Linked DNA regions of Solanum lycopersicum. The protein of the gene in region 3 binds, or shares a complex with, the protein of the main gene of each other region. Links are inferred from orthologs where the notes say so. Each region holds a gene or a part of one and is shown on either strand. Other genes may lie near its edges. The genes, in order: transcription initiation factor TFIID subunit 5, transcription initiation factor TFIID subunit 11, transcription initiation factor TFIID subunit 15 and transcription initiation factor TFIID subunit 10.

Evidence for each region.
Region 1: transcription initiation factor TFIID subunit 15 (region 3) and transcription initiation factor TFIID subunit 5 share a complex: the UniProt entries of both Arabidopsis thaliana proteins name them as parts of the TFIID complex. The link is inferred for Solanum lycopersicum from reciprocal best matches to the Arabidopsis thaliana genes TAF15 and TAF5.
Region 2: transcription initiation factor TFIID subunit 15 (region 3) and transcription initiation factor TFIID subunit 11 share a complex: the UniProt entries of both Arabidopsis thaliana proteins name them as parts of the TFIID complex. The link is inferred for Solanum lycopersicum from reciprocal best matches to the Arabidopsis thaliana genes TAF15 and TAF11.
Region 4: transcription initiation factor TFIID subunit 15 (region 3) and transcription initiation factor TFIID subunit 10 share a complex: the UniProt entries of both Arabidopsis thaliana proteins name them as parts of the TFIID complex. The link is inferred for Solanum lycopersicum from reciprocal best matches to the Arabidopsis thaliana genes TAF15 and TAFII15.

What each region holds. Positions count from the first base shown.
Region 1 is NC_090805.1:43,574,708-43,583,061, forward strand, and holds the start of transcription initiation factor TFIID subunit 5, read left to right. Parts: upstream 1-3,367; 5' UTR 3,368-3,717; coding exon 3,718-3,908; intron 3,909-5,081; coding exon 5,082-5,163; intron 5,164-7,157; coding exon 7,158-7,236; intron 7,237-7,313; coding exon 7,314-7,411; intron 7,412-7,496; coding exon 7,497-7,553; intron 7,554-8,127; coding exon 8,128-8,215; intron 8,216-8,354. UniProt on the Arabidopsis thaliana protein: TAFs are components of the transcription factor IID (TFIID) complex that is essential for mediating regulation of RNA polymerase transcription.
Region 2 is NC_090804.1:5,055,837-5,062,522, reverse strand, and holds the end of transcription initiation factor TFIID subunit 11, read left to right. Parts: coding exon 1-284; intron 285-2,231; coding exon 2,232-2,319; intron 2,320-4,003; coding exon 4,004-4,103; intron 4,104-4,866; coding exon 4,867-4,994; 3' UTR 4,995-5,027; exon of another isoform or gene 5,028-5,356; intron 5,357-5,638; 3' UTR 5,639-6,217; downstream 6,218-6,686. UniProt on the Arabidopsis thaliana protein: TAFs are components of the transcription factor IID (TFIID) complex that is essential for mediating regulation of RNA polymerase transcription.
Region 3 is NC_090810.1:45,841,139-45,849,173, reverse strand, and holds the end of transcription initiation factor TFIID subunit 15, read right to left. Parts: intron 6,786-8,035; 5' UTR 6,737-6,785; coding exon 6,617-6,736; exon of another isoform or gene 6,601-6,616; intron 6,476-6,600; coding exon 6,111-6,475; intron 5,987-6,110; coding exon 5,789-5,986; intron 4,422-5,788; coding exon 4,338-4,421; intron 3,733-4,337; coding exon 3,651-3,732; intron 3,555-3,650; coding exon 3,425-3,554; intron 3,132-3,424; coding exon 2,938-3,131; 3' UTR 2,700-2,937; downstream 1-2,699. UniProt on the Arabidopsis thaliana protein: TAFs are components of the transcription factor IID (TFIID) complex that is essential for mediating regulation of RNA polymerase transcription.
Region 4 is NC_090811.1:67,583,609-67,591,939, reverse strand, and holds transcription initiation factor TFIID subunit 10, read left to right. Parts: upstream 1-3,549; 5' UTR 3,550-3,921; coding exon 3,922-4,020; intron 4,021-4,099; coding exon 4,100-4,164; intron 4,165-5,279; coding exon 5,280-5,342; intron 5,343-6,484; coding exon 6,485-6,542; intron 6,543-6,604; coding exon 6,605-6,655; intron 6,656-6,899; coding exon 6,900-6,980; 3' UTR 6,981-7,247; downstream 7,248-8,331. Other genes in the region: protein GLUTAMINE DUMPER 2, read left to right, coding at 2,071-2,529; uncharacterized protein, read right to left, coding at 8,068-8,104. UniProt on the Arabidopsis thaliana protein: TAFs are components of the transcription factor IID (TFIID) complex that is essential for mediating regulation of RNA polymerase transcription.

The DNA.
Region 1 (8,354 bases), on a different chromosome or scaffold from region 3:
TTATATTGATTTAAACTTGAAATTTTATTTAGATATGCAAGTTGGATTTCTCAAACATGAAAGTCCCACGATTTTCCAAAACTATCCTAACATCTCAATCCATTTTTACTTGTCTACTATATTAAAAGTAATTGTCTAACAATATTTGATCGATTTGAAAATTAAGAGATAATTTACCTTTTTTAAAAAAAATATTTTACCTTTACTATTAAATTTTTTTCAACATTTAATATATTTTTCAAAGTATTAAATTTTATATTCAAATGGTAATGTAGTATTATTACTCATGTTATATATTATTTCTAAATGTTTATATCAAGTCAATAGTAGATAACTATTGTTTGACAGAATGAGTATTATTAAAATTAACAGAATTATAGTTCATAAATAAGGTATCAAAGTATCCTAAGACGCCGCAGTAATAATCTCATGTCTCCACGTACGATGATTACATGTTATTACAAACTTTTAGATACATGTAATTTACAAAGATTCACTAGTTAACCTAAGTAGTAACTGAATACTCCATATGTCCCTAATTATTTGTTCACTTTCCTTTTTTTAGTTGTTCCTAATTATTTGTCTATTTTAACAAATCAAAAAATAAAAATTTATTTTACCTATTATACCTTCAATTAATTTCTTTGAAAAGATAGAATTTCTAGAAAATTTTAAAATTTAATTCATGCATTTCATAATTAATAGGATAAAATGGTAAAATCACTATATTAATAAATATTTTCTTAATAGACGTGTTAATTTAAAAATGAACAATTTAAGTAATTAAGAACGTGGGAAATAAAAAAATATATCTAAATTATCCCTTTTTTTAGTATCACGCGTAAATTATTATAAATGTAAGAAACACACTTAAACTATCACTCGTATGTGTTTGGTGTATGTATAGTGTATTGCACGCACTATCTTTTTTTAACCAAAGAAAAAAAAGTTTGCGACTTTGAAAAAACAATTCCGTTAAATAAGTTTATAAAAGATTAAAATGAAAGTGGGCTGTTGATAAATATAGAAGTAAAAGGATAATATAAGAAGAATGAGGAATAAATTTCTTGTCTTTTACGTTTACGTGCGAAGACTTCTTTTTTTTTTTCATTAATTTTATTTATTTACTAGTATTCTTTATTAATTAAAAAAAATTGACTCTCATTCATCATAATTAACTCTTTAAGTATTTTTATTTTCTCCGGTACTAATTATTAATTTCTTGATATGAGTGTTGCCTGTTTATTCTTTATCAATTAATAAGTATTGAATTATGAACGTAATATAAATATTATCAAGATTATATTTAAATAGTAGCTTTAAAAAAATATATTCCCTTCGTTACATTTTATGTGACACAATTTCCTTTTGGTCAGCCTCCCCTCCCCCCCCCCCTCCCCAAAAAAAGAATCACATTTTCTTATATATGGTAAGTATTTAAATGTATAATTCATTTTTTACTCTTGTTGGTCCCATTTAATTTTAAAGATGGTACATAATACATTTATGAGGAGAGAGAAAATTGAGTTGACTTTTTTGAATGACAATTTAACAAATATTTCAAAGTCTTCATTATTTCTTAAACTATGTGTCCGGTCAAATGTTGTCACATAAAATGGGACGGAGGGAGTACAAGTTTAAAACTGATGAATATTATTATTAGAGTTCTTTTAATTTAACGATTCTTTCAATCCTTACCGACATTCTTGATAAGTAAGATGATTAGATTGAAACTAAAATTTGTATTCTCTTGGTTATATATTTGTAACACGACATAAAGTCAATGGAATATGAATATATTAAGTTAACACTATGTTTATGCAAGCTCAAATTTTGGTGTAAAAAAACTGTTTTTCCTCAAAGTTTCAGCAAATAAGGCCACCAATTCCTAAAAAAGAAATAAAATTTGAATTGTTTAGTTATCGCTGGAGGTTTGCTGATGTATTCGAGATCTATAAGTTTAAGAGATTTTTGTAATTTAATTTGAAAAAAAAATAGAAATAAGATGTAATTAGCTCGTAGTACTATGTAATTCGTGCAACTTTTATAATAAACAATCATTTTATACATTTCCTCAAATAATTATTGTTTAATTATCATCATCATATTTAAGACTTTTGAATTAAATAAAGTCCTTATTTGATTTAAGTAAGAATTTATGATATTTAAACTTCTAAATTAATTACCATTTTACCTTTTATAGTCAAACTTTACCAAAAAAATACAGCTGTTTCGTCTACATCAACATTTTTTTCATTTAGGTTTTGATTCAGGTTGCCTTCTTGCATTTGTTATCATCATCCTTCATTCAGGTTTCGATTCAGGTCTACCCCTTTTGAACAATTTCTTGTGTTTCTATTTCAGTTGAAAATTTGGAGAGAAGAAGCATGTCGCAGCCGCCGAAAAGATCAAATTAAATCTATCATGCAGGACAAATCAAAGGTTTATCTCTTTTCTTTTTCCACCAATCTTTTTCTACGGAAATGGTGGTTCTTTGATTGCCGCAAGATTTACTCCTTTTAAATACATTCGATAGTTTTTCTGCCATTTAAAATGTAACAATATATAACATTATTATCATAGTAATTTTTGTTAATTTGATTATTGCTCTTTTTTCTCTCTCTCTAAATGTTTTCTTAGACTACAAGTATTTGTAATAAATATTTATTTTATTATATTTGATTATAGTTAAAATAAAACAGATAAAAAGATCAAATAAGTAAATGATTTATATACGACGTGGCGTTGAATGCAAATACAAAAGAAAGAGAATGGAATAATAATTGACATTCTTTTTTGGTCAATAGAATTTAAAAGATTAATCATTTTTTTTTTTTTGAATGTGAGGAGTTTCTGATTAGCCAACAATCCACCCTATAAGCACAGTTCATGTTACCATCACTTGATGAAATTTACATTTAAGGCTAGGTGACGCCTTCTTATCACATAAGACTCTGAAAATAAAACTTCCACTTTCTCAATCTCATATCAATACGTTGGGTGTTACTTGTCAATCTTTCCGTTTTTAGATAATACATCCAAAATACTTGAAACTATCTCTCTTTTGGATGACTAGTATATCAAGTCTCACTTCTCCACATCAGCCTCATGCACCACATTGTTAAATTTGTACTTTGAGTATCCAATTTTAGTCATGTCCTCAGCCCGAATCATTCACTGTAAAGTCTATTTATAAATCTCTATGTGAACGTTAACTCCGTCGCTAGTCTCACCAATCAAAATTATATTATCTGCAAATAACATATACTGTGACACCCCACCTTAGATCTGCCATATTAATACATTTTTTAAATATTAATTCTTAGTAGTATTTCAAATATACATGATTATATACTATTGTCTCACCGGTTCACATTAGCATAAAAAAGTTTGCATCTTTTGACTCTAGTTTGTTGTGATAATCTTTGATTTTTGCTTCCGAAGATAAATAAATTTCTCACAAAATAATATATTATGTCCTTAAAAAACTTATTCTTCACTAAGCATATGGGTCCATTTAAAGGGCAAATCTTGTGATTAAGAGAGAAATTGGAGCCTAACCAAAAAAATATAAAACAAAACACCTTCCATAAACAAAGTGACGACGACGTCGTATTAAGTCCCTCCAGAAACCCCAAATCAAAATTCTCGGTCCTATAAACCCCAGGTGTTTTCTTCTTCTTCTTCCCAATTCTCAAAATCTTACCATTTCTCGCCATGGATGAAGAAGAGATTGAGAAAGCAGTCGTAGCGTATTTGAAGAAGAAGGGTTTCAAGCAAACGGAGATTGCTTTTCAAGAAGAACAGCAAGTGAATAAAAACAGTTCTTCTTCAATCCATAATAACAACAACTCAGCAAATTCTCAGATTGACCCCGACTTAACCAAAAAAATCCTTTCTTTCTCTGAGTAAGTTTCTTTTTTCCACTTAATTTGATGTAAAAATTACTGTTTGGCTAAGAGGATTAAGTTCTAAAATCAATTTACCTTGAAAGATAGTTTAATTTCAATGAAACACGTTTAAGTAGAGAAGGATTGAGTACAGAAGATCTGAAAACTAGTTTAGGGTTGAGAGGTGACTTGGTTGTTGGAAGAAAAGCAGGAGCAATATAATTGAAGCAGTTTTTCTGCACCCTCCAGTAGCATTTCTGCAAATGCCCAAATTGACCCTGAACCGTCAGACAAAAATAATCTGTTCTCTGTAGATAACATAAATTTAATTACTGGACCCATTCTAAAGAGGGAGAAATCAGCACTACTTGGTGAAATAGGTTCTTTTTGAATCAATTGTCCTCTTCTCCTGTATTTTAAATGCAGAGTGCTTAGCCATGAGGTTGCGGTTCTAAATAGCATTGACAATGCCCAGAACCACTTTTGAGGTACTAGCACACTGTCTAGGAATTGGAAAGAGAGGATCAAAGGAAATTTGGCGGAAGAATATCCCTGTTTGTATCTGGTGGACGTTATGAAAAAAAAAGGAATGAGAGATATTATGAAGGGAAGGGTAGCAGCACACAGAAGATCAAGATGAGATCTCTTAGTATTATATTTTTTTGGTGTAAGCAAGATTTAGTGGGGACAATAGATAGCTTAGTGGAGATTATAGGCCAACTGTAAATTTTTGAAAGTTTGTTTTTGGATTTTGAGTATGATGGCATCCCCTGGGGTTTGTAAATTCCTCCTCATCAGTCTGATGAGTTCTTTTGTGCGGATTTAAGTTACCTATTTCAAAATAAATAAATAAATAGAGGGGATGTAGAGGAGGATTTATGAGCTGACCCAAAGTCTCAAACTGTTTAGGATTGAGGCTTCATTAGTTGTTTCAAGAAGGGAAGCAACAATAATTGTGTGTTTGGTATGGAGGAAGCTTTGGTGTTATTTTACATTCTATTAGTGACATTACACTTTGGAGCTTCCTACTTTTAGAATATTACAGATATAGATGGATAGATGTTATGGCTCCGTTTTCACACCGCCTTACACTAGCTGGAAGTCTTGACAGCTGTATAACGCATACTTTCTGGTTATTTTCTTAGCATGCATCTTTGATATCATTCTGAATCTAAATTTTTATGTTTTCAGATTTGAAACCAGTCCCCAACGATACCAAGAAGAATATAGCAAACTTCGGTCATGGGCCTATAGTTCACTGGATCTGTATAAGGTTGGTCCCCTGACTTGTGCTAACAGTAACATGAGAAGTAGTTTATGCAGTATCATGATGCATAGCTCCTCATGACATGTAATGCACTAATAATAGGTCTGCCACCAGTAACACCATAGGAAATAAACATAAATGGAAAGGAAAGGCTTTCATTTTCTCTTTTATTTAGCCCTTTTTAATCCTTAACATAATGTATTAGTGATGTGCACCTTGACCTATTAATACTTCTGCTGCTGTCTTTCTGGCAGTGACAAGGTCTTCAAAATTGAGTTCTCATATTTGTGATTCTCAACTCTAGTTCATTGACTTATGCTATAAATGTAGCACCAGTGATGGATTTAGTACTGTCTTCTACCATTGCGATCATAATAGCGAGCCAAAAATAGCTCTTCATAACATAAGCATGACAAGCGTGCCGTCTTCATACAAGTTAGGTTGTGTGATTATACAAGCCAGATGAAAAAGTGATGAAAATGGTTCCATATGTTTGGTAGGTTCAAGTTGGTCCCTTAATACTCTTGAACAATTTTGGTCCTTTAAGTTCACCAAAAGCGAAAACACCCTTTGGGGGGGGGGGCAGTGGTTTGGGCTTGGGGCTTCCATTTTGGAGGTTTCAAGTTCGAAACCCCTTGCTAGCAAAAGCAAGGGTCCAGTTTAGAAAATCAAGAGATAATTTACCTTTTGTGTCCTTTGTTATTAAATACTATTTATCATCTAACACATTTTCCAGAGCATTAAATTTAATAAAGTCAAAGGATAAAATAGTAATGTTACCGCTATTATTTATTGTTTCTTAAGGGTGTGCTAAGTCAATAGTAGACAACTATTGTTGGACCAAGGGAGTAACATCTATAGTTTCAACGTTTGCCAGCTTGCTAATTTTGGTTTATTTTTGGAGGATGGTGCAGCTTTTGAAGTGCAATTTTGCCATCTTTTAATATCTATTGTGTGGTATATGGTTCAATTTTTGGTGTTGCAATTTTCAAGATAGGACAGGACTTTTTGGTGTTTTTGGTTGGATAGTTATTTTGACCATTCCGATGAAGTCTACCCATTCAAGTTCTGTTTAAAAAAAAAAAGGGTCCAACCACTTGAGTTCTGTTTCAAAAAAAAAAGTCTTAACCATCCGAGTTTGTTAAATATTTGTCAGAGACCAAATGCTCACTTTTGGCAAACTTAGAAAACCCAAATTGTTGGGGGGTATATTGAAGGACCACCTTGAACCTATACTCAAACATAAGGAGCCATTTTTTCTCTCTCTCCAAGTTAGACACTTCCTTTTGACTTACTCTTTAATCTTCAAGATTTTGTGGTTTCCTGTAATAGCTGAAGCTACCTTCCATTTATTTTTGTCCATTTCTGTCTACCTTGTCTCAGTCCATTCCAGATTGCCTCTCTCTTTCTATTGGAATTGAAGGATGTGCTGTGTGCATCTGGATTTTCTCCAATTCCAACATAATCTGATATTGATTGAAAAGAGGGAAGTTAAGCTAGCTAACGAAGGGGTTGGGATCCGCCTCGCCCTTAAAGATCCGCCCCTCGTTTCACTCTGAAAATTTATTATCAGCTCCTTCTGTTATTTAGCCATCTCTCTCCATAAAATTCTTTCACGTACATGAAAGTTATTTCATATCCTAGAGAGTGCGGTTGTATTGTCTCTCTAAAGAATCGTAGGATCCATTGGAGATAAAATGAAACAATTTTAAATGCCGAGTGTTCTGTTTCCTTTTTTTCCTTTGGTCGTTTCTCTTTCTGCAGTGCTGTTACTGCTTAGAATACCTTTCGGTTCGCAGAAATGATGTGCAAACTTTGTTGTTTCCAACAGTTTGGCCATTGTATATATTGGGGTTGTTAAGTCTTTCTCTTTTATAGTATGCGTGACTCATTTAAAATCATCTTATATTATGTTGATTATTGTTATCCTCTTTTATTTGTTAGATGAGATTATTGTTATTATTGATTCATCTGAACATATATATATTTCAATCTTGCAGCATGAGTTGCTTCGTGTTTTATATCCTGTATTTATTCATTGTTTCATGGAACTTGTCGCTAGAGGTTATATTCAAGAAGGTATACTTTGTCAGTTATGTTTTGGTTGTATTTTGATATTTGTGAGAGAATTTTTAACACAATTCTTTTATTTCCAGCACGAGCCTTTTTCAATAGTTACCGTGAAGACCATGAGATGACGCATCTGCGTGATCTTCAGAAGTTAGAAGGCGTCCTCTCACCTTCCCATCTAGAGGTACATCAATATCCTAGCAACTGTGTGGATGACCTTTTCCATGCTTAAGTGTGTCATAGATCACTAAACTTATTCCGAAATGCAGGAAATGGAATTTGCTCATTCTATACGGGTGAGCAAAGTGAACATTAAGATGTGTCAGGTATTCTCTTGATCCTTTTGCTTCCTCTGGTTGAATTTTTCTGCTACTATAGTGCACACTAATGTCTCAACTGTGAAAGCCAAGTGTGTCGGGGTTTGTTAGCAATTGGTGACAAATGCATATCGAGTTAGTAGTTACAAAGGAGGAAAAGAAACTAATGTGATATTTCACTTTAGAGTGCATTATCTTTCATTTCCTTCTCTTGACCACTTATTTTGCTGTGGAACTTCAACTTTTTGACAAAAAATCCACCTCTTTCCAAATCTTTTCTTTTGAAGCTGAACTTCTATTAGTTATGTTGATGAAATAGCAAACACTGGTTCATTTTGTAGGTTTGTTGGAATTAACTACAACATTTAGTCTATTGTTCTCATGCCATGGATCTTATCACCATGTATATTAAAGGAACAATCATTTGTCTAATGGTTTTTCTAGTTTGGTGGATTTACGTGCAGTTTGATTACTGTTTTTTGGTCAATATACATGTCTGGCACCATTTGATTACTTTTTACCACGCATACCTTTAGACTTAACTGGATTAGCCTTTTGATTTGCTTATTTTACTCTGAAACAGTACTCCTATGACCTTCTGTTGCAATACTTGCACAAGACAGAATCTATTACAATGCTTGGGATCATCAATGAGCGCATTAATTTTCAAGGTGCACTTCCCATTTTCGCAGTTGCTTTCAACCTTTCAATTTGCAACTATGTTAAATTGACCATTTTAATTTAGCGTAATCTTTTTTGATTAAGTAAAGTATTTCATTAAGAAAACAAGGCCGAGATGACTGTAAACAA
Region 2 (6,686 bases), on a different chromosome or scaffold from region 3:
TTTGAGGAGCAGGATGACTCACCCCCTGAATCCCCTGCTGGAACCGATGAGAATGAAGGCCAAGATCAAGGTGCAGTTGGTGTTAATATGAATGAAGGTGACGATGTTAATACCGATTCTCGTGAAAAACCTTCAACATCTAAAGCTACATCAGTCTCTGTTAGTACTGCTGGTCCAATTAGCAAACCCAAAGAGGAAGATGAGGAGGAAGAGGAAGAAAGCATGGATGTGCAGTTAGGAAAACTCTCATCAAGTAGTGATCCTGACAAACTGGCGAAGATGCAGTAAGTTTGTCAGTTTATGTTTTCAAATATCTCGAACTCTTTCTGTTTACAAGGATTCCATTCACAGAAGATTGTCAAGATTGTATGCTATTATCCTGTTCTGTGATAGCTTATGTGGGTGGTTGGACCTGCCTACTGATCAATTTGCATAAAAGAATAACTCCTTTTCTGATGATTTCTATCCCTTCCTCTCACCTTCCTTTCTTTCCTTGTTGATTTGTTACTCAGACTATTAATTTAACTCTCTTTTGTATGCTGTATTCCCTCAGTATATCTGCTGTATCATTTTTTTTTTAACAAAAAGTATGTATATATAACCAGCAGGTCAATGCTTCTATTGAGATCTGTGAACAGATCTCATCTAGCTTGATATGCTTGATTTACTGCAGATAAACACCAGTAGGAAATATAGTAGCTGTTAAATAATAAATTGACATTTTGTATCAGCATTGTTAAGTAAGGGCAATATGGAGAATAACTAATTTAGTATGGAAGAAACCATATTGTGGTCAAGGCCAATAAAATGGGAATTGTACATTGCAGTTATATATATACTTGTTATGCTAAAGTTTTTCTTCTGCACCTCCTTGTTAAACAACAATATACCTAGTATAATCCCATAAGTGGGTTCTGGGAGGGTAAGATGCACGGAGACCCTACCCCTACCTTTGTGGGATAGAGAGGTTGTTTGGATACATCCCTGGCTTAAAAGGGAAGCTATTCATTGAAGGGTTGCAATAAGAAAACATGAAAACAAAATATCAGGACACATAGCAAAATGAAGCAACAAATAGTAGAAACACATAGAAAAATAAGAAACTATGCGAGTTACTAAATACTACTACTAATAAGGAGAAGAGGATATGGCATTGCCTCTCCCACCAAACGGGCGACCACACGCGGCTACCTACTAAATTTCTACTCTAATGCTCGACCTCCAGGCCTTCCTATCTAGGGTCTGCACCTCGTTTTTACGTGAGCTCAGTTTAGAATATTTTTCTATCCTATAATCAGCAGCGCTCTACCTGGTATTAATAGAGGTTCTATGACACTACAAGAAAAGAGGTAAAATTCCTTTTGAGGTAAGGTAGGTGAAGGGAGGTAGACATTTGGCTTCTCAAGTCTCGTACTTGTTATTCTATGTTGTCAAACTTTATTTGCTATCTATTTCCCATTCCTTCCAAATATGTGAAAGCATAAAAAGAGATCGAACTTCTCTGGTGCAACATACATTTTCAAAATATTCCTCGTCATTCGAACCCGAAATGTCTCCTGTTTCAATAACAGTTATAGGGTGATGGATGCTTTCATCCCAAAAGAAGAAAAAAAAACAAGAGAATAATTATGAAGCTATGGGAGTTGAAGGTTGTGATTTCAGATGTCATTCACAAGTAAAGTAGAATCTCTGATATGAAGCAATTATCACATATGTATTTTTAGATGCTTGAATTGCTGCAGCCTAGCCCTTTCTTTAGCTGTATCTCCTACTTCCACTAGAAAATAGAAAAACCATTTGCCATTTTTCTCTTATACCCGATCAGTGGTGGCTGCTATGTACCACCAGTACCTCCCTATTAAGGGATGGGCAACTCGCACCAAAATAGTCGTACTTGAGCCGAGGGTCTATTAGAAAGAGTCTCTGTACCTTCTCAAGGTAGGGGTGAACTTGTACACATCACCCTTCCTTAACCCCACTTCTGGGATTACACTGGGTATGTTGTTGTCTCACACACAGCTGTCGAATAGCTATATCCAAACAAAGCAGGACTTTATTAAAAAAGGATGGTTGTGTAGCCCTCACCTGGGTGGCTTCTCCTGTTACTGTAGAAGATTTAACTTTGGATTTGAGCTAGATCTAGTTAGACGCTCTCTGCAGAGGCAGTGACCATACCCCACAGCTACATCAGTCCAATAACTATTAGTTCACTTTGTTATCTTCTCTTTCAGGTCCATCTTATCCCAATTTACAGAGGAGCAGATGAGTAGATATGAATCTTTTAGGAGATCTGGATTTCAGAAATCCAACATGAAGCGGGTATGTTTTGCCATCCTACCCATTTTATCATCTTTTTCCTGCTTTTTGCATGTTCTGAATATGATCTGTACTATTATAGACAAAGTACTATAGATGATGTCAGAGTTGTTTTCTCCTCTACTGTAGCTTGTCTGTTGTGTTTGTTTCGTTATTCATGTGCGTGTTGCTTTTTGTTTGCTTGAGCTGGGAAGGGAGTTGGCAAAAAAGGTTATACTGAGAAAATGGGCAGAAATTTCTCTATCAACTGATCCTCTAGTGTGGCTTTCCAATCAATATGGTCCGGCCTTGCCCCGGCCCTGTGCATAGTGGGAGCTTGGTGAACTCAGCTGCCCTTTTCAAGAAATGGAATGTAGATGATAGACTGGTGTCTGAGATAAAACCCTATACCCAGTAAACCACATCAATTTCCTTGTATTCATCGCTGATACTCACGATGTATTCATGTCTGATACTCACAAATTTCCTGATATAGTAATTTTCCTAATCTCTTACTCTCCTGTATGAGAGGACTTCTATTTGGAAATTCTCTTACTGCAGCCTCATGCTAGTTTTGGTTTGATTTGTTTTGAATTAATAGGGCTTTTTTCTCTTGGATTTCTTCTGTACCTAACATTTAGCCATTTAAGCAAATAGTGTTGTTTTTCAGTAAAAATATAATATCAGAACAAGAACATGATAGAAAATTGTTGAAAATACATGTGAATAGAATAATCTTGTCCCTTTATTGTGATCTTGTGGCCATTGAGATGTTAACTTGTCTTCTCTTGTACTTTTCCATACATAATTTGATATGATTTGTTTGAGTTAAGATGGGAAACTCCCAATTGTATGTTTACTTCCAGAAACCTCTGCCATCCCCCTTAAACCCTTTTCTCCAATCTTTTTTTTTTCTACATGAACCCTGAATAATTCTTGCCCCAACTTCTCTCTTCCCAATCAACCCTTTATCCACATACACACAAACAAACAAAAACCACAGTAAATATATTCATAGTACCACCAAAATCCTTTTGGATCTTTCTCAAATAGTTTAGCTAATGGCCTTGTAGTAACCAGGATTTTTGACCTTTGCTCGGCTGTTCCTATGGCTTCAGTGCCTTACAACCCTTCTTTTGTATTGGGGAGTGTTAGTGCCAATAGGGTCTGTCTTAGAAGTACTTTCTTTCTGAGGAATCACATCATGAATGGACTTTTATAATCTGGGTTGAAGTGGAAACAGGATAAAAGAGATGCTAGAGTAGTGTCTTAGATAGCTTCTGCTGTATCTGAAAAAGAAGCTTCTGGGAGTTCTGAGGAGACCCATGAGAAATGCTGTGGTGGGGTTTCATTTTCTTTTGTATAGTTTTAAAGTTTTGGTTTGTAATTTTCAGTTCTTGCTTTCCCAGATTGGGTATATTGTTGTTGTTTGACTTGAGATGGCCTTGTTACGTGATATTGGACCAATCCCTAACATTAGCCTATTGAAGCACATTCTTTTTGTCTTTCATTGCACACATGTAATGTTAGAATTCATTTTCTCAATAGACGCGTAACTGTCAGATGATTGAGAATGAAGCCAAATCTTTGTGAATATGTGAGGATCTTGTGCAAGCCTTAGGGCCATTGAGATATTTGCTTTTCCAGTCTGATCATTTATTGTGCATAATTTATTTTTTGTCGTGACTCTTGTGTGTTGTCGATGCAGTTGCTGACCAACATCACAGGAAGTGCAAAGATATCTATTCCTATGACAATTGTGGTGTCTGGGATAGCAAAAATGTTTGTCGGTGAGCTTATTGAAACAGGTAAATAGACAGATCCACTTGTTATAGAGATAATTGATGAAGCAAACGTTTATCCTTTATTTGGGAATAGCAAGGATGACTTGTCGTTGGAATGATCTTATTTTCGTTCTATTCTTAGACACTAGTGCACAGCTCCAAAATATTTGCCAAACTATAATCAGTTTCTGACCAATTTGCAACAATGAGGCATTAAAAGCCCAAGACCAGTAATATTATCCGTTACTGAGCATGTTGGTTAACATTCATTTGGAACACTTTACCCCTTTAAAGTAACAAAAGAGTGGCTCTAAAATGTCTTCTATGTACTCACACATCGTACCTATGCTAAGTAAGCACCCGCCAATGTGTCTGAAATTGCATTTGACGTGTCTGACTGGTTAAGGATGTTTGGCACTATAACTAGGGAAAACATAGGACTTTTTAGCAAGAACAATAAAATGACTCTCCTGCCTCAGTGTTGGCCCAGGCACTGCCCTCCTTTGTTCCTAGTGGTCTCTGTTACCCTCTACCTGTAAAAGCTCACTGTCACATTGTTTCTCTGCTTTTCCTTTCCCTTCTTCAAAAGATCGATAGAATCAACTGAATATTTCGTAAACCTAGGTGAACACGTTTAACCAATTTCCAGTCTAATTATGCAGTAAAGAGTTGCCAATCTTTAGTGTTTCAAGGTGGAAGTGTCCTCAGTTAAATAAAGTTGAAGGGCTATACTGCATTGATTTTCTCCAAGTAATGGTGCTCACTCATCTTACAATACCTTTTGCAGCTAAAATGGTGATGGCAGAGAGAAAAGATACTGGCCCAATCAGGCCATGCCACATAAGAGAAGCATATAGAAGGTTAAAACTTGAAGGCAAGATTCCAAAAAAATCAGTGCCAAGGCTTTTCCGGTAGTGAACGTGGAAGCAACCTGTAGTTATATTTCAGGTTCATTGTCTTCCTATTGCTTACAAGTCCTCTAATGTGTCTATGTTGAATTGTCGCAAATCCTTAATTATCTTGCACTTCCAGGTCAAGTAAACATTGCTAGTCACAAAGTTGTCGAGTTAGGACACTTTTGCATTGCCTATTATATATGGGGTTAATCTGTTAATTAAATTACTTAATTAGAGGGAAGGAGTTTAACATTTGTGAAAATATTTGTACTGCCCGTAACCTGGAACTGAAAATGATGGAAGGAGAACACTAAGATTGCAACATCTTGGCTAAAATAACAGCATCATTGTATTTTTGGGCAAATCATCATTGTGACCATGGTCGAGTTTGTTGACCATGTTGTGAATTTCTCAATGCACTTGGATGAAAGAGAAAATTGGAGTGACGGGACAACAATGCTTCTTCACCATGTTGTGTGGAGGAGGCATCACAACGGTCCTAAACTTTATCAAGTAGAAAAGAAACCAAAAGATAATTCAGATCAGTTTGATTGTTCTTCTCTTTAATTCTAACTGTGGACGTTGTCGTTCATTTTCAAAATCATTTGTTCACGCTCTTAAGTTTTTACAATGTTTCTCATCCCTTGTTCTCCATTCTCTCAGATTTGTAGTAGTCAGCCACTTTCCTCGCAGAAAGGCGTAAGGATGAACTTGTAAATCTTGGACGAAAAGATTCATGAGGTGTACCTTTACAAGGTGAGGCTTTAGCTTCTCTTTGAAATGTTGGGGTTCCATTAAAGAAGTAAATTTCGAGGGGCATCAGCCATGGTGGGAAGAGAGCTCTCACCTTGACGAAAGGATTGGCAGGACGAAGATCCTGAACAAATTGTTTCTTAACTGTGTAGTTTTTGGTGTTGGTACATTGAGTTTCAGCTGTTGCCATCATTTTTCCCTTTTTCCAGAAGGGCATACTTAGGATACATGAAATTATGAAAATAGTAGAAAATGTTTGGAAAAAACAGATCGAGTTAAGTGGCATTCCAAGTTTATTGTCTCTTTTCCACCTACTTAATTCCCCCGACCCGTTCCGGATCATCCCAAACCCCGTTACCCCGAACCCCCACTTTCCAACCCCCTTTCGTTTTGTTAGATATCATATAAATAGTATTGGAATAATGTTTTCCTGCTTAACTTACCAAACATAAGAAAATAAATAAGAAATCTACTTGATTGCTGAGAAAACATTTTTTAGAAAATCATTTTCGGCTAAAAATATTTTCCTTTCCTACCAAACACACTTGGATATTGAAAAAATCAATCATTTGTTAAGTGTATACATTAAAAGGATAATAGTATAAAATGACAAACTAATAACGTAAAATAAATATAGTAGCTACCGTTTGATTTATTTGTATTCCATAGCAAACGGTTTGTCAGTCGCCTCTCTCCCTCATATTCTCGCTCGCCACTCTACCTCTATTGTTCGCTCCCAGTCGCTCGCCGCTCTCGCTTTATACAATAGAGCGAAAATTGTATAAAGCGAGAGAAAATTGTATATATACATACAAATACATATATCTTCATCCTATAAACTTATAATTATACAATGCAAATATTTTTCTGCCCAATTTTCTATTGTCTTATTCTCTTTCTTGTTTTATACATACACAAATTATACAATTGATTTGTTTAATTTTTTGCATTTGTATAA
Region 3 (8,035 bases):
AATACACTTAAATTTAGTTTATGAGATATATTTAAACAATTCAATTCATCTCTATTGTGTCAGGATCAACTAGAATCTTCAAAATTTATGTATCACGCCAACATTTGATGAGCACGAGACACAATGGTAATGAGTAAGGGGTCGTTTGGTTACCGTATAAGATACACCTTATTCATATATAAAAAGTTGCATTAGATTTATTATGTTTAGTAAAAGTTTTGTATTAGGTATAAAAGTCAACATAACTTATACCATATTTGGTTGATAGAATTTTAATGTTGTATAACAGTTATAATGTATTAATTTATACGATGTTTAATTAAATTTTTTTGTAGTCTTACATATTTAATATCAACATAAGTTATGAAGGAATCTATATATAAAGTTATGCAGGGTAAAAAATGAAATAAGTTATGTGGATATTAATTATACATGTATTAAAATAATAAATTACATATTTATCCTATTATTTTATTTTATTGGAAACATAATCGTTTTCCTATCTACGTTTATAGAATCATTTTTATTTCTTTTGATTTGATTTATTTTTTTAATTGAAAATTTTACTGTTTTTTATCTACGTTTGTATTTCATTTTATATCTAGATCATTTTTATTTTTATTTTAAAAATGTATTTACAATTTTTATTTATTTATGCAAATATAAATATTTTTTATATTAAAAATTTGATTGTATATTTTTTGATGGTACATATGCTAATCAAATATTAGCATTATATGTTCCACATTCTATTAGCATGTATTATTATTTGTAAATAATATATATTAATAATTTGCAACAAGTTTAATATTCAAAAGTTAATAATTGACTTAAGACATTTATGGGCCTTTGAAGTTGACATAATTCATTTAAACACTTCTACTAAGATTAGTACATATTACACTTTTATTGTTCAGAATAAGTACCTATATGATATTTTTCGCTGACATGACAAGGAAGGTGTAATACACATTCACTCAATGCATCAGATCATATTTTTAGTTTTTCTCTCATATTTTTAGTTTTTCTCTAAAAAAAATCTCTTTCCTTCTTCCTTAGCCATAACTTCTATCGAAATCAATATCATCTCCATTGTTGCCGCCGATGTTATCACCACCACCATCCCCACCTTTCTTTAAGTCTGTTGGATACTGCGATCTTATTTACGGGAAAAAAAAATAGAGACTCACACGATGACTACAATGTTTCTTCTTCAATTCTTTTTTTCTTATTGAAAAATATATCTTATAAATCAGATTTAAAATAAAAAAAAAAATAACCTCTCCTTCCTCCTTTCTCCATGTTTTGCTTAGATGATTATGTAGTCATGATTTTATTGGTATCTAAAATTATAAGTGGTTCATATTTTGTAGGTTAATGCAATTTAATTTTTATCAAATGTAATTTGCTATTTTCAACTAAAAAAAACAGATCTGAAATTTTTTTATTGGATTAAGAGGATTTGAAGGTGATGAAGGCTATGGTGATGGCAACTGTGGTTGAAAGTAAATTTATCTCTTCGTGAAAATTCTCAAGGCCTCATCAGACATTACACAAAGTTGCTTGAACTGTAGCTTGATTGATAACTTCAATTTTTCTCTCCCCCCGTCCCCCCTCCCCCAAATGCCACATGTATGTCATTGATTTGACAATTTTCCACATCATTACATATTACACACATTTTATACTTTTAGTTGATCGTCAAAAGAAGTGTTCAAAAGGCTTAAATCCAAATAGATAGAAGTGTTCAATAGGTACAAGTCCTAGTTAAAGTGACTAAGTAAATTATGCGACTAATTTTAAAGAATTGTCAATGACTTAAGCCTAATTCATATATTGTAATTTCTACATCACTAATATCTGCATAATTAACCCCTGCATAACTCTAACCAATAACTAAACAGCCCCTAAAAGTATAACTTAACAATTAAGACCAACCTGACGTGTTTAGATGTATACTCTCAACATAGGAATGCTCACCTACGAGCTAAGGCCAAATTTGGATGTGTGTTTATGTCTAAGTTGCTTGGACTCGGTATGGGTATAAATCCATGTATGAATGCGAGTGAAAATTCATCAAAAAATAATTAAAAATGTCAAAATAGATTTATCAAACATAGACTATGAAGGAAAACTTCTAGTGTACCCAGTTGCAGGTCATACACTATATCTTGCACACAGATATTATGTGGAAAATTTCAGGTGAATCAAGAAAGCAAATTAAAGGAAAATGAGCGCCATAAAATTTTCTATATAAAAGGTATTCCTTTCTTCACTTCACCTTAGCTTTGTATTAATTACAAATTATTAGAACTGTCCAGACTTCCCCCTTAATTTTGGTCAAACTACCCAAAATTGATTGACCCAATCGAACATGGATCCCCCCCCCCCCCCCACACGTCATAATCGTATCCATGTCAATTTTCGCTTACCTTAATTAATTTCACTAAATATCTAGCACTAGCAACAAGCGTAGAGTAACTATGTCCACCAAGGCTAGAACAAATGATAAGAATCTAGCGTGGTCTCTATTGGGATAAACCTAAGACCACATGATCCTCAATCAACTTCATCAACCACTAGAGCACACCCTTACCTCCATATTTTCAAGGAGTATAGTAAACTGATTCTAGAATCTCTTAACAGTTCAACTATGGAAAGAAATTAAAGATGCACAGGAAAAGATTGTGATAGCCTCCTTAGAAAAAGAAAGAAAGGGACGTACAAATAAGGCAAAAGACGCTGCGAAATGCACGTCAAATATTCAACATATGAGTGAAAAAAAATGACCAAGATTAAGTCGAAAAGTCGACATATGAATCTGACAGAAATGAAGCAACCTTAAGAAGGTGCCATACGAGTAGCCACCCATACAAAAACATGAGACAAACAAAGTTTGATGAATACCATATTTGATGGAATGGTCGCATGCAATCTTCAATGACGATACTTGTTCCGCTCACGGTCGCGGTCACGACCATATTCTCTGTCTCGATCATAGTCGTAGGAGCGGTCTCTATCTCTTCCCCTATCCCTTTCCCGACTTCTGCTTCGATGCCTAGCTCTCTCCCTATCATCATAATCTCTTGATCTTTCTCTGCTTCTTTCCTTTCTATCTCGCTCCGCCACCCCTGCAAAATTAAAGAGTGCTCGGAATCAGGATCATGTAGGTCTTCGATTAATTACACCTCACAAGAACACTCAGCACTCCGTTATGAAATCTTTTAAAGCTCAGGACTAAAGCAGCTCATCGATCCCAAAACAGGATGACTAGGATCAATCTAAGCAATCTAGTAGATCTAGTGTCTACTAGATGAAACAGTTCGACTCACTAGATATTGCATTTAAGAGAAATAATGCAAGATGCATAAAACCATAAATTCTGCATTATGGACAACACATGTAACAAAACTATTGTCCTCACCTAATTCCTCAGCTTCCCATCCAGCGCGTCCTACTCCAGGGGGGAGGCTCTGGGCTGCTTCTGCTCGCTGTGTTTTAGCGCGAAACTTCTTCTTCAGATTTCCAAACTCGTCATACATTTCACCATCATCCTATAATTGAGATGAAGATTTCACCAGAAAGTCAGAAGCAGAATGATACCCAGGATAAGCTATAGAACTCATAAACTTCTGCAATTTTTATCTTACTTCTTCAGCCTCTCTCCTCCGACGTCTAGTTTCCTCTATTTCTTCTTCATCGAGTTCTTTATAACCTCCAGCACGTCCTCCTCTGAAGAGTACAATAAAAGTAGATCATAGTTAATACCTAAGAGAAACACTATTTAATACATCAAATTAAACTTAGTACATGCTTACTAACCATAAAAGGCAACGATAAATTATATTAAAAAACTATGTCAGCAATTTGTGTGGGTGAGGGTGGGTGGCTTCCATGTGTTTTCCTGCCCTTAATGATTATAACAAGACTAAAAGATTGACAAAAACAATAATTTTGCAATTACAAGCCTATAATGCAGCTATACTTTTCTTGATGAGCATGTCCCATACACAAGATCCTAAATAAGGAAGTTTTCCTTGGATAATATTCATGTAGCACATTAATCTAAATCACCAGTAGCTTCAACAGCCAACGTCAACATTAAGTGCCACCTAGCATCATGTCTTGTGCACCTCTGTTCCTTTTCCAGTTGCTAGGAATGCAACATCTTTTAAAATCCTATTGTTGCAGAGCAACAAGGAAAACGGGAGAGGGGAGCGCTTCTCAGAAAACAACAGCGGCACTTCCATTTTAAAAAAAAGGAGGTAACAGGAAACAACAACAGCACTTCTAAGAGATCTAAATAAGCATTCAATGCTGCATCCTGTAATTCATACCTCACACCACCCTCATTGTGCCCAGGCTTGTTGGTGTTGCATATGTTACACTTGTTCCTCTTAGCCCAGTTAATGTTGGCACACCTGAACAATAGGTCAAAGACAAATAGCAAAATGTCAACCTATTAAAAAAGGGAAACATAATAAATGCCAATCAATAACAATTAACAATTCATTCCAGACTAGTTAAAATGATATTGGACACTGTGACACTGAATTCAGAATGACAAGTACGATTCTAATGGTCATACAAGGACAAATACATAGAAACCCCTCTAACTTGCCCCAATTTTTGTCTTTTCATCTTAGCAATCCATCTCAACCCTGTTCCATTTAACCCTCCAACCTCATTCCTTGTGTATCATTTAAACACAAAGAGCTGACTTGTCACATAGCTGAGATTCCTTTACCTGGTAGGCGCTTGAGGGTTGATTTTACACTAAAGTAATAATAAAGAATTAAGAGAAAAAAACAGAAGTAGAATCACTTGGTTTGTCTGATCTTGAACAACGCACATTTTCTATTTGCTAGCTTTATTGGTCTTTTCTATACCTTGGAATCGCTTTCAAGTAGAATGAAATACTTGGAGATTAAAAGTCAACTAAAACAACTAGACTAAAGCAAAATGACAGAGTTAACAATTCCTACATTTCTCGGATGGATTTTGTTTCTTCAATCTAAAAGGTTTTGGTAAAAATATTCTGGGCAAAAACTGCACCCACCCGTACACTCTCATAAACAAAAGAATCACACCAAAACCAAGTCCCTGACAACAAGACTCCAGCTATTACTTATATTTGAGTCATCTTCGACTAGGTAAAGAACATCCAAGTAATCTAGGGAAGGTACCCAACATCCAAGTAAAGCCAATGTAGTTGTTAAAGGTACTGGTAAGTCACTTACCCAAAAAAAGAGGAGTACAGTAAAACCCAACCGTATCTATTTCTAACAAGCACGCCTTTATAGGAGAACACAAATTTAAACCTACCAGATACCTGAAGACTAGACTAACTTCAAGATTAGTGCAATAAGGAGAATACAAAGTCTGATTATGCTCGGAATGGTTTTTCTATGATAAGGTATAAGGAAAATGGAAGTGCGTGCAGGGAATATGCTCAGGCAGTTTACGGGTGAAAAATTATACTCCCTCTGTCCCAATTTATGTGACGCATTTCATTTTTTGAGATTCAACCAGTTTAAGTTATACCAAGAATTTGCTCATGGAATCTTCAATTTTTTTTAAAATGAAATTTATACATTTGTAAACTACGTAGAAAGTACTATTAGTTACAATAATTGACAATTTTAAAATATTTAAAAGGTATATGAAAAAATTCCGGTCAAAGCTAAACTTGTTTGAATGTCGAAATCCGTTATGTGTCTCATAAATTGGGATAGGGAGTATCATATTTCAATAAAATAGGTTGCAAAATGAAAATGAAGATTCTTACATCGGACAAGCCCAATCATTTGGACCAAAGAGGCCTGGAGGACCACCAACTGCACGACCAGGAGCGCCTGGGTCCTGGCTACCACGTCCTCTCCCGCGACCAGCAGCTCCAGCCCCACCGCCACCAGCACCAGCAGGCCGAGCAGTTCCACAGCGGTTGCAAACTCCACGAAATGCAAAGTTCACATTAGTGCAACTGCTATACATTAATTACAAATACTGTAAGCACAAAAACATATTGGACTACTCGAAGTAAAAACAGACAATTGAAGAAGATACAGTAGAGCACGAACGAGCTGCTCACCAATGATCATATCACAGACCTTGTATTTGGACACAGCCAGTCACCATCTTGTTGCCATGCCTTTGCAGAAGCATCTCCCCTGCCCCTACCTCTTCCGCCACCTCCATCTATATCGTTGGAGCCTTCATCCAGCACAGCCAGACCACTGTTCAGATTGGGCTCACTAATTTGATTCACTGAAACATAGGAAGCCTCGTCTTTGTTCTTAGACTCTGCAATAAATACCCCAATCATTGACCCATGAAAATCCTTGTTATTGAACCATTCAACAGCAGCTAATGCAGCATGAGGGTCTTCATATGTGACTGTGGCATCGCCTTTGGGCTCATTAGTAACTTTATCACGGTATAACCATATCTTGGGCCTACCGCTTCGTTTGTCTTTCTACAACATGAAGCAAAACAAATCCTTAGAAAAGAATAAAAAAATCAAAGTGATCTGTTCAAAGCAGAGTAGGGGGAAGTGGGAGAGAGCATATAACAAACATTCTCGAACATAATTAGAAGTACCTGTTCACAACCATACCTTTAGCACCCCTATTGTGCCAAAATATTCAGCTAGCATATCTTCATCTGTACCAAGGGGCAAGTTACAGACATACACAGAACCATTTAATGTAGATCCTTTCCCTGAATAGCTTGCCATTTATGCTCCAATTTCATCAAATCCAATGACACAATAAAAACCCCAAGAACTGCATAAAGCAACAACCTAGTATTAGTCCTGCCACAGTTCCCCTGTCCTTAAAAGTAACTACAGGCAAATCATATTAAACTGAGAAAAGCACCAGAGTATGTGCAAGTCAAAGGACCAAACCAGAAGAAATGAAGAGATAACTAAAGAAATTTTTTTTATATAAGATAGGGTGTAGGGAGGAAGTTGGGACGAAGCCAACTTTTAAGTGGTGGGATTAGAGACAAATGCCACTTGGCAGTAAATTTTCCAAAACAGCTGGAAATTGGTTAATGTTTTCTTACTGCAATCTTGTAATACATTAAGGAAAGAGCTAAGTAGTTATTGTCCTTTATGAGTATAGAATTTCAGGTCAATGGGCTAAAAGCACGTGTAGAATACAATACTTTCGAGTATACCCAATTTGAGAACACTACTAGGGACCTTCACATGTCGATGCCTGTTAATTTTTGCAACAAGTTGAGAAAATTATCAGGAACTCTGATTTATCAATCAATCAACTACGTCTTCATCCCAAACTAATTAGTATTGGCTATATGATCCTTCATATCTCTCCCGCACTATTTTTTTCCTTATCAATGATGTTATAAGTACTTGCACTAAGTCAGTGCCACAAAATGTAACTAAAGATTGAGATTTGAGGCATTGAGCATATCCACTATTGCATCTAGGCTAGCATCTTCATCATGTTCAATAACCAGTTTGCACTAAAAAGATCGAAAAAAGTATACAGTTTTGTTTAAGGGTATGTCTGATTCTTCAGTTGCCTAAGAAAAAATCTGCTATTTCTTTCAAGCCATATAGTCCACCAAATGGCTCAAGGAATGCTATTCCAAGTATTTGGGGATTTCTTGCACAGCCTGCTCTCTTTGTTCCAGCATTGCAATAGCTCAAAAATGGAGAACAATACAGTGCAAGACATGCTAAACATTGACAAAAACATGCACCATAACCAGAACAACAGGCTTCAAAACAAAAGCTTACTAATCAAATGGCTTTGGAGACTCAAAGATGAAAACTAAAGTATCAATACCATATGTGGCAAGGAGGACCAGTGGACTCCTAAAATCACTAATAACTAATAGAAACTACTATTTGGAAGCATATTTATCCTTATTAAAGGTAGTTCAACTCTTTTACTAGCAGAGTTGTGGGAATCGGCAAATGCATCAGATTCTGACTGGATCACTAGTTAGATATTGTGATACTAAAAAATGAGGTCCCTACTTCATTAAATAGGAAGTGCATGAT
Region 4 (8,331 bases), on a different chromosome or scaffold from region 3:
AGATGTGGCGAACCATGAAGGGCTCCATATAGATTATCAAATATTCTCTAACCAATATACATTATATTAAAAAAACATATCATCCCCCACTAAAATAAAATAAAATTAAAGTTAGTGACGATTTTCATTTTTTAAAAAGGTATAATTTGTTCACTATGAAAATAAATGTAGCTCAACTTTCTTTTTTTTTTTCCAAAAAAAAAAATAAAATCTATTTACAATTATATATAATATAAAATTATAAGAAGTTCAAATAAAATATTTGCAACTATCCTTACACTGTACAGCTGCCGCTTTTGGCGTTATAACACCAAATAATTATTACCATAAAATCATATAATTTTATATTTGGCCGAATTCATAAACTTATTGAGTTTTCCTCTCATGTATCTTAACTATGTCATTTTTCTATTAAATAATTGAACTATCCATAATTTATTTTTTCTAAACACTGTTGGTTGATTTTGATCGGCTTTTTCTATCATAAATGTTTTCAATTATGTTCGAATTGTAATAATTTTGATTGAAGGAATGAACACAAATAGTGTTAGTCTCATTTGTTTTCTAATGTGTTCAAATGACTTCAAGTAAAAGACAATTATCTTCGAACATTTTCACTATCAATTGGACTGGTGAAATCTGGCACAACATATGTATCAATTATCATCTATCAATATCTCTCACAAATTTGATTCCACATTAAGTCAATAGTGTTTGTTTAAATGGAACAAATTATGGATGGTTCAATAATTTAATAGAAAAATAACATAGTTGAGTTATCCGAGGGAAAAACCCGAACAATTTTAGGAATCTATTTATGCATTTGGTCTTGATATAAACATCATGTGCAAATAAATTTTTATCAATAACCATTTGGCGTAGCAAAATTACTTGCTTTTTGTATTTTTATTTTACGTGGTATAATATGATTTGACATAAAATTTAACAGAAAAAATAACTTAATAATTTTTCAACACTAATTATCAACGTTTAATTATTAATATCATCTCTAAGCTTAGTTGATAAGTATGAGATAATGATACTTTAGTTCATAAAGAATTATAATGATACGATCACTTTACTCCACTAATGACATTTTTAATTCTCTTCTTTGCTCAATGATTATTGCTGCTTTACTCATAAGCTTGAGTGTTTTTCCCACTTAGTATCTATAGCAATAATTCAAACGAAAGATTTGTTTATTTTACCATTAAAACAACGTTGTTAATGAGATGAATGCGATCTTTTTATTTTTTATTAATCGAGTCGAACGAGTTACTAATATACTTTAATATATATTTCGTGAGATTGAAAGCACCTCAAAAAGGCTAAGGATGTCATGGCATTTCTATCTTACTTTTTCATACACCATGTGAAACGAATCCAGATTAATCGAATCACCAAACATCAACATATGAAATGAATATTATTAGTATAAAAAGTACAAAAATTTCCTACATTTAGAGGCTAATTACATTTTACTTCGAAACTTTTCCTAATTACAGAAATTCTAAATTTTTCATTATTCTTAGATACATTCTGTGTTTGTCCGATACATTGCAAATGATACTTTACTTAACGAGAGGATATCCGAATATGAATTTTTATAATTTTTTAAAAACAAGAAATTTCAAAGATAACAATATATCATACTATCTCCGTCCATCTTTTAATTGTCTTAATTTCCTTTTTCAAAGTCAAACGATAATAACTTTAACTAATATTTTACGATATATTTTTACATCACAATGATATGCAAAAAAGAAAATTTGAAATTTATAATAATTTTGGTAAATTTTTTTCTTCTCATTAAATTTTATGATTCCCTATTGATCACTTCACCCTTCTTTTTAACTTACTTTTTCTCTTTTCACTATTCATCCACTAAATTTGTTTCATATAAATACACACATATACCATCTTTGCATTTCTCAAGCCAAGCTAAGTTTTATTTTTCTTATTTTCTTTGTTCTAAAAGTTTAATATTCGTTTCGCTCGCAAAAAATTTAATAAATTTTTCTATCGAAAAAATAAAATATTAGACATTTCATCTTCGAAAATAAAATAAAAATGCGAACAGTAAGTACCTTTACTACTGCTTCTCCATCAGTCTCTCCATCGGCGATTGTTCAAAAATCGCCATGGCATTCGCCGGCGCCGTATCTATTCGCCGGCGTAGCGTCCATGCTAGTGTTAATAACTTTTGCTTTAGTAATCCTAGCTTGTTCTTACTGGAGACGATCCGGCTATCCGAGAGAAAACGGCGATGTAGAATCCGGCGACGGCGAGAAATCGACCGGTGATGTTTTCAAGGCGTCGCCGGTTTTTGAGGAGAAAATAGTTGTGATAATGGCTGGAGATTTGAATCCAACTTTTTTGGCTACGCCTATTTCGAGTAGAGGTAATTCGTTTGGTGCTGGTGATAAAATTGAGAAGAAATTGGAAAAGGAAACTGAAGAATTTGATGATGAGAAGGCGAAAGATGAAGCTATGGATCAAGCTCATGAAGAATCTCAAATCGGCCATTGATGAAGCTACTGAGCTTTGAAAAAAAAAAAACAGAGCAATTTTCTCTATTTTTTTTTTTGAGTTCTTCCATTTTTGGTTTAATTTTTCAATTTTGAGATTCGGGAAATTGTACTCAATTTTGGTTGAGATAACAAAGAGTTAGAAAAAATTTTCGTTTTCGAGTAATATGTTTTCACGGAAATTGTTACTTCGATTTGATACGTGTTTTATTAGCTAACGATAATCATAAGAGTCATTTTGCTAAAAAATAAATAGATCGTTTTTAAATTTTTCAATGAAAAAAGTAAAATTGATGATATATTTTTAATATAATGAATGAAAAGAGTAGAATCAATTATATATCGATTTAGAAAATGAATTATTTGAAGAATCTCGAATGTATGTGCATATGTGACGTTTGCGATTTTATATCTATTGTGATTTACTAATTATATTTGATAATTTATAGTAATTAAATATGATTTAAAAATCATGCTTATTCATGCAATTTATAGGTCGTATCTATCGAATATGATATATAGTTAATCTATAAATTGAGTTACTATTAATATGTAATTTATAAATTATATTTATCTAATATAACTTTCAAATGATGCAAATCAAATGTGATATTAGTCATATTTGTGAAACATGATTTATAATCGTGCTTACCAAATCATTCAAGTACCAATTAAGTTACTCAATTGTATTGTAATTAAATTAGTTATCAAATAATATCCAAATTGTTTACTCAATAATAATATAATTCATTTTAATCTTCTATGATAGAGAAGAATAAAATGGCTAACATAAGTGATTATGAGTGTGTGTATATATATATATATATATACTTCAATGTAAATTTTAATTGCGTTTGGTTTGATAGAGAATAAAATAATTTAATTATATTTTTATTTTATAATTTTTTTAAATGTTATGAACTATCAAATTTAAAAAATAAAATAAAATATAATTTTTTTTTTTACGAAATATTATCGTTAGCTAGGTAAATATATATGCCCCTCTTCGCGAACGAATTTCACATAACAAAAATACAATTCTCCTCTATCTTAGGCCTTTTCTCATTTTTTTTCTTTTTTGCACAATTGTGGAGAAACAATTTTGAATTTTAAAAAATAATCAAAATTATAATATTTCTATATCCTAGAAGGAAAATAATATTACTTTTTCAATATGTGAGTTTAAAAATAATTTTTATATATATTTTTAAATATTTTAAATTATCGTAACCATAGTAATTTTACTTACCTATTACTAGAATATTTTTCTTCAGTTTCTTCTTCCGATTTTTTTCTCAAAGTAAAAAGGCACAAATCTTCCCCAATTTTCCTCCGGCGAAATTGAAACTCCGACCACCGCCGATCCTCCGTTGACTCTGTTTCGACGGTGAAGATGAACCAAAGTCAAGGTCAACAAACAAGTGAAGGAAGACACGAGGATGATGCTGTTCTAGCCGATTTCCTTGCTTCCTTGATGGACTATACTCCCACTGTGAGCTACTTTTTGCCCTTTTTCTTACTGAAGAGATCAATTTTATGTTTTATTTATGTAGGTTAACGCTTTTGATCAGATTCCTGATGAATTGGTGGAGCATTACTTGGGTAAAAGTGGATTTCAATGTCCTGATGTTCGATTGTATGTATTTTCTTCCCATTCTTATGTTGATGTTTCTGCAATTTAGCCTGCTTAGATTAGTTATAGAAAAATTGTTTGGATTGCTCATAAGGAAGATATGATTTTCGTGTGTTTATCTAGAACTATTTTCACTAGGTTTATCCTCTGTCTTGAGCTAACCGTAGTCTTTAAACTCGAATACGATGAACGCGCTCCTCAACCTACGTTTATTTTGCTTGGCGTAGCGAAAGCTCTACACTTTTGCCAAGTGAGCTAAGCCCTGGGGGTTCAAAGGGAGATATTATGTTACTGCAGCAAACAAATAAATTGGGCAAAGGTGCCCATATAATGATGTAAAATCCAGCTTGGGAGGATGTCCTCCCAAGATATTTCCTTCAACGAAGTAATAGAAAACTTAGCTGAATTATGTGCTAGTTTTGTTTAGACTTCTCGGAATATGAACAAAGTCTACATGATCAAGCAAGCTCTTAGCTTCCAAATGTCTTCACAAGTCACCTCTATCTCCCATGAGGTAGTTAACTTTTTCCTGAATCATAATCAATAACACTCTTTGCTTCCAATAGGATTCTCACATCCTTCCAATTGTTCCTGATTGTACGTTCAAGAGCCACTCTTAAAGCAAGTGCTTCAACAGTCATAGCTTTTCCCGCAAACTGGATTGGGGAAACATGGGCATGAATCAGTTTTCCAAGGCTTTCCAGAGCTGCAACACCAATATTTGCCAGTCCAGTATCCACCTGTAAACCTGCATCAGTAAACAATAATATAACATCTTGGTGGGTTGTTGGTGGAGCCGCAAGGCAATACCCATTTTTATGAAAATTAGATGAGCAATTAGCTGAATATCTTTATACTCGTAGCAATCAAACAGTGACTAAGCGGCAGTATTCTCTAGTTCCGTTTTTGTTTTGATCGTTTTCTATTTATCTGGTTTAGCAGTAAATTCAAGTAAAATTTATATATCTGTGAATTGGATTGGTATTTACCTTTTTACAAGTTGTAAATTTTAATATTGTAGCATTTGATGTTTTGTTTGACAGTGATGGCTGGTTTATCTTATGTTATCAGTTTTTAATACTGTGTTGTTGTATTGAGTTTTTCCTTTGGATATGCAGAATAAGGTTGGTGGCAGTTGCTACTCAGAAGTTTATTGCAGATGTGGCTACTGATGCTCTCCAGTATGTTTCTTAATTATTTTATTTTTCTTGAATTCTGTTTCCTCCTCCATCTTATGTTAAGTATGCTGCTAATTCTTCGGCATATTGCTCATCGATTGTCCCCTACTCTTGAGGCTTCAATGCAATTGTTGCCTGTCTAGGTGTTTGTCATTGTATGATCCTTCCAACTTTTAAGTGTTCAAGTTGTTCTCCTCCCCCAAACCTTAAAAAAACTCTTTTTGGTTCGTCTCTAATGAATTAGAAACATTAAGTTGGTAATTTTAGAATCCAAGCCTGTTATATTTTTAAAGACTGCCGACCCTAACTTGACTACACTACCAAAAATACAACACCTGAAATTCTCTATTGTTAGCGCAATAATACTACTACCTCAGGAGATTATTGTGTCTGTGACACTCCAAAACCTTAGAAAAGAGACAAAGAAACAGAAAAATACAATATAAAGAAACTAAGATATGACTTGAGTAGACATGTAGAAAGACCTTGTTTCAGAATATATGATTACAAATAACAAAGCATCCAACTTTCTCTGAACTTCCTTTCTTAATGTTTCCAATGGATTGTTATTTTCCTAATGCTTCTACTGGATTGTGGTAGATCTTCTCAACTGTGACAAATCAGTTGTGTTTTGTTTCGTTATCGACTCAAGATTTTGTGAATGCCTCACTTTACTCACTATTTTGCCTTCACTAGTCGTAATGAAAGTAAAACTCATGAAATGCTGTGAGTCTTTTGAGGATAGATTATGGCTTTATCATCGGAAGAAAGAATAAGAGTTTATGAATGGTCTCTTATGTATCCTTCATGTTTAGAAAGAAATGGATATTTATGAAACGGGCCATTCCAATAGAGAAACAACATAATGCCAGTGGTTGAAAGCAGGCAGGTCGATGAAAGTTAGGATATATCAGGAGCAAGGGGTATCTCCATTGGTATTCTGTGTAGAGACTAGAAATATGGTTGAGACAACAAGATGGCAGTGGTTGAAGGAAGGAAAGTTGATGACTTGTGGGTAGACCAGGATAAAGACACCCTCATTTTTTGTGTTGAGACAAAATATAGTTGAATTTTGAAATTCTTGTTAATGTCTTGGAAACCGAGCTTATATTAGATTAACTTTCTTATTTTTCATGGTAATGCAGACATTGCAAGGCAAGGCAGTCAACTATTGTCAAGGACAAGAGAGATAAGCAGCAAAAGGTGCTTCACTTTTTTCTCTTTTCATTTTCTTATGTTTATTGGTTCTAACTCTGTTTTAGCAGGACAAACGCCTTACCTTGACAATGGATGATCTTTCAAAATCTCTACGAGAGGTAATCATTCTTTGCTGGCCTATCAAAAAATAATAAAAAGTTATTCATCATTATAATTTCATCTTATTTATTCTATAAATAGTCTGCTGTATAATGCTTTTGACCAATCGAGTGGTCCATCCTTGTAGAACCTCTCTTGTTTCTTCTTCTCCAAAAGGCTGTTCTTGCGTTGCCAATATTTTTATCACTTCAGCGATACTTTTTGCATATGAGTGTTCTCCGTAACCTTTGATTTGCATTGCAGTATGGTGTTAACGTCAAACATCAAGACTACTTTGCTGATAGCCCGTCTGCCGGGTTAGATCCTGCTTCAAGAGAGGAATGATGTAATGCCTGCTAACAAATCTCTGTGATCACATAAATCTGATGGTTTTAGGTCATTGCGTTGTTGTCATCCTCTTGATTTCTCAAAAGCTATATATCTGTTGGAGGATACAACTCTTGACTACTATGTATCTCTATACTTACCAATGTTAACTGTAGTTGCCACCATTGATAGATTTCTCGTTTCGATATTCCTTTCATGGTAGCAATGAGGGTGATGTTGATAACTGGTTTGAATGTTTAAATTTGCTTTGAACTTGTTGATGAATGTGCTCTACATGTTTGGTTGTGTCTATTTCTGATGGAATACACTATTGTGGTAGCTGAAACATGACGGCTACACGAGTAGCTCTGGCTGAATATTTTATGTATCGTGAACGACACTTCAATAAATGATCCTTCCAAACAAGGTAATGAGCTTATCGCGAAATGTCTCTTCTATTTGCATCGAAATGAAGACCATTCACCAAAATGAGCATCAATATCCATCATCATAGTGAACAAAATGCAATATTCACAATATTCACAAAATAGCAAGTTAATATTTACTCCTTTTTTGGAAATTTCTAAAGGATCTATAGCAGTTGCAGTCTACAAAAACATAAACGATAAAATCCATTACAGAAGTTAAAAAATTGTCTAAAGACTATCTATGAAGCCTTCACTATATAACGCGCAAGCATCAAACTTACAATCGTTTGCACCACAACTAAACGAAGAGATTTAACCTTTCCCTTCTCATACCGTGGGCGCTAGTCCACCATGAACACAAACACTTGATAAGTAATTGCTAGGTTTTCAGGTGAATGAACGATACGCTCCAGTCTTTCCAGTAGATCCTTTATTACCTAGCAAAAAAAAACCCAGTAAGAACGATCTAGTTACTGGAGCAACGGGAAGCATGGATTGCACCATCGTATTTGAGGGGAACCATTAAAGGATGGAACGGGGGAGGTCCCGATCCTTTTACAGGTGCAAGCGAGATCTAGTGTTGTTTCCTGCAATATCTTCAAGGAAAAAAATCCATGTCTAATAGAACATGATGTGGGGTGGTGATGGTGGTGGAGGATTTCAATTGAAGTACTTACCTAATTGTCATAGAAGCGGGAACGTCTTCTCCGAGAACTGTGCCACAAAGGAAGCATGAAAAAAGATAAGAAGTTGTGAATCAGATTGAACATTAACAACATTAGACACTATCAACAAGAATATATCTAGCGTAATCCCACGAGCGGGGTCAGAGGAGGGTGGTGTGTACGCAGCTCTACCCCTACCTTGTGAAGGTAAAGAGGTTGTTTCTGATGAACTCCCGGCTCAAGTAAAGCATAGTAAAATCAAGAATGAAAAGGACG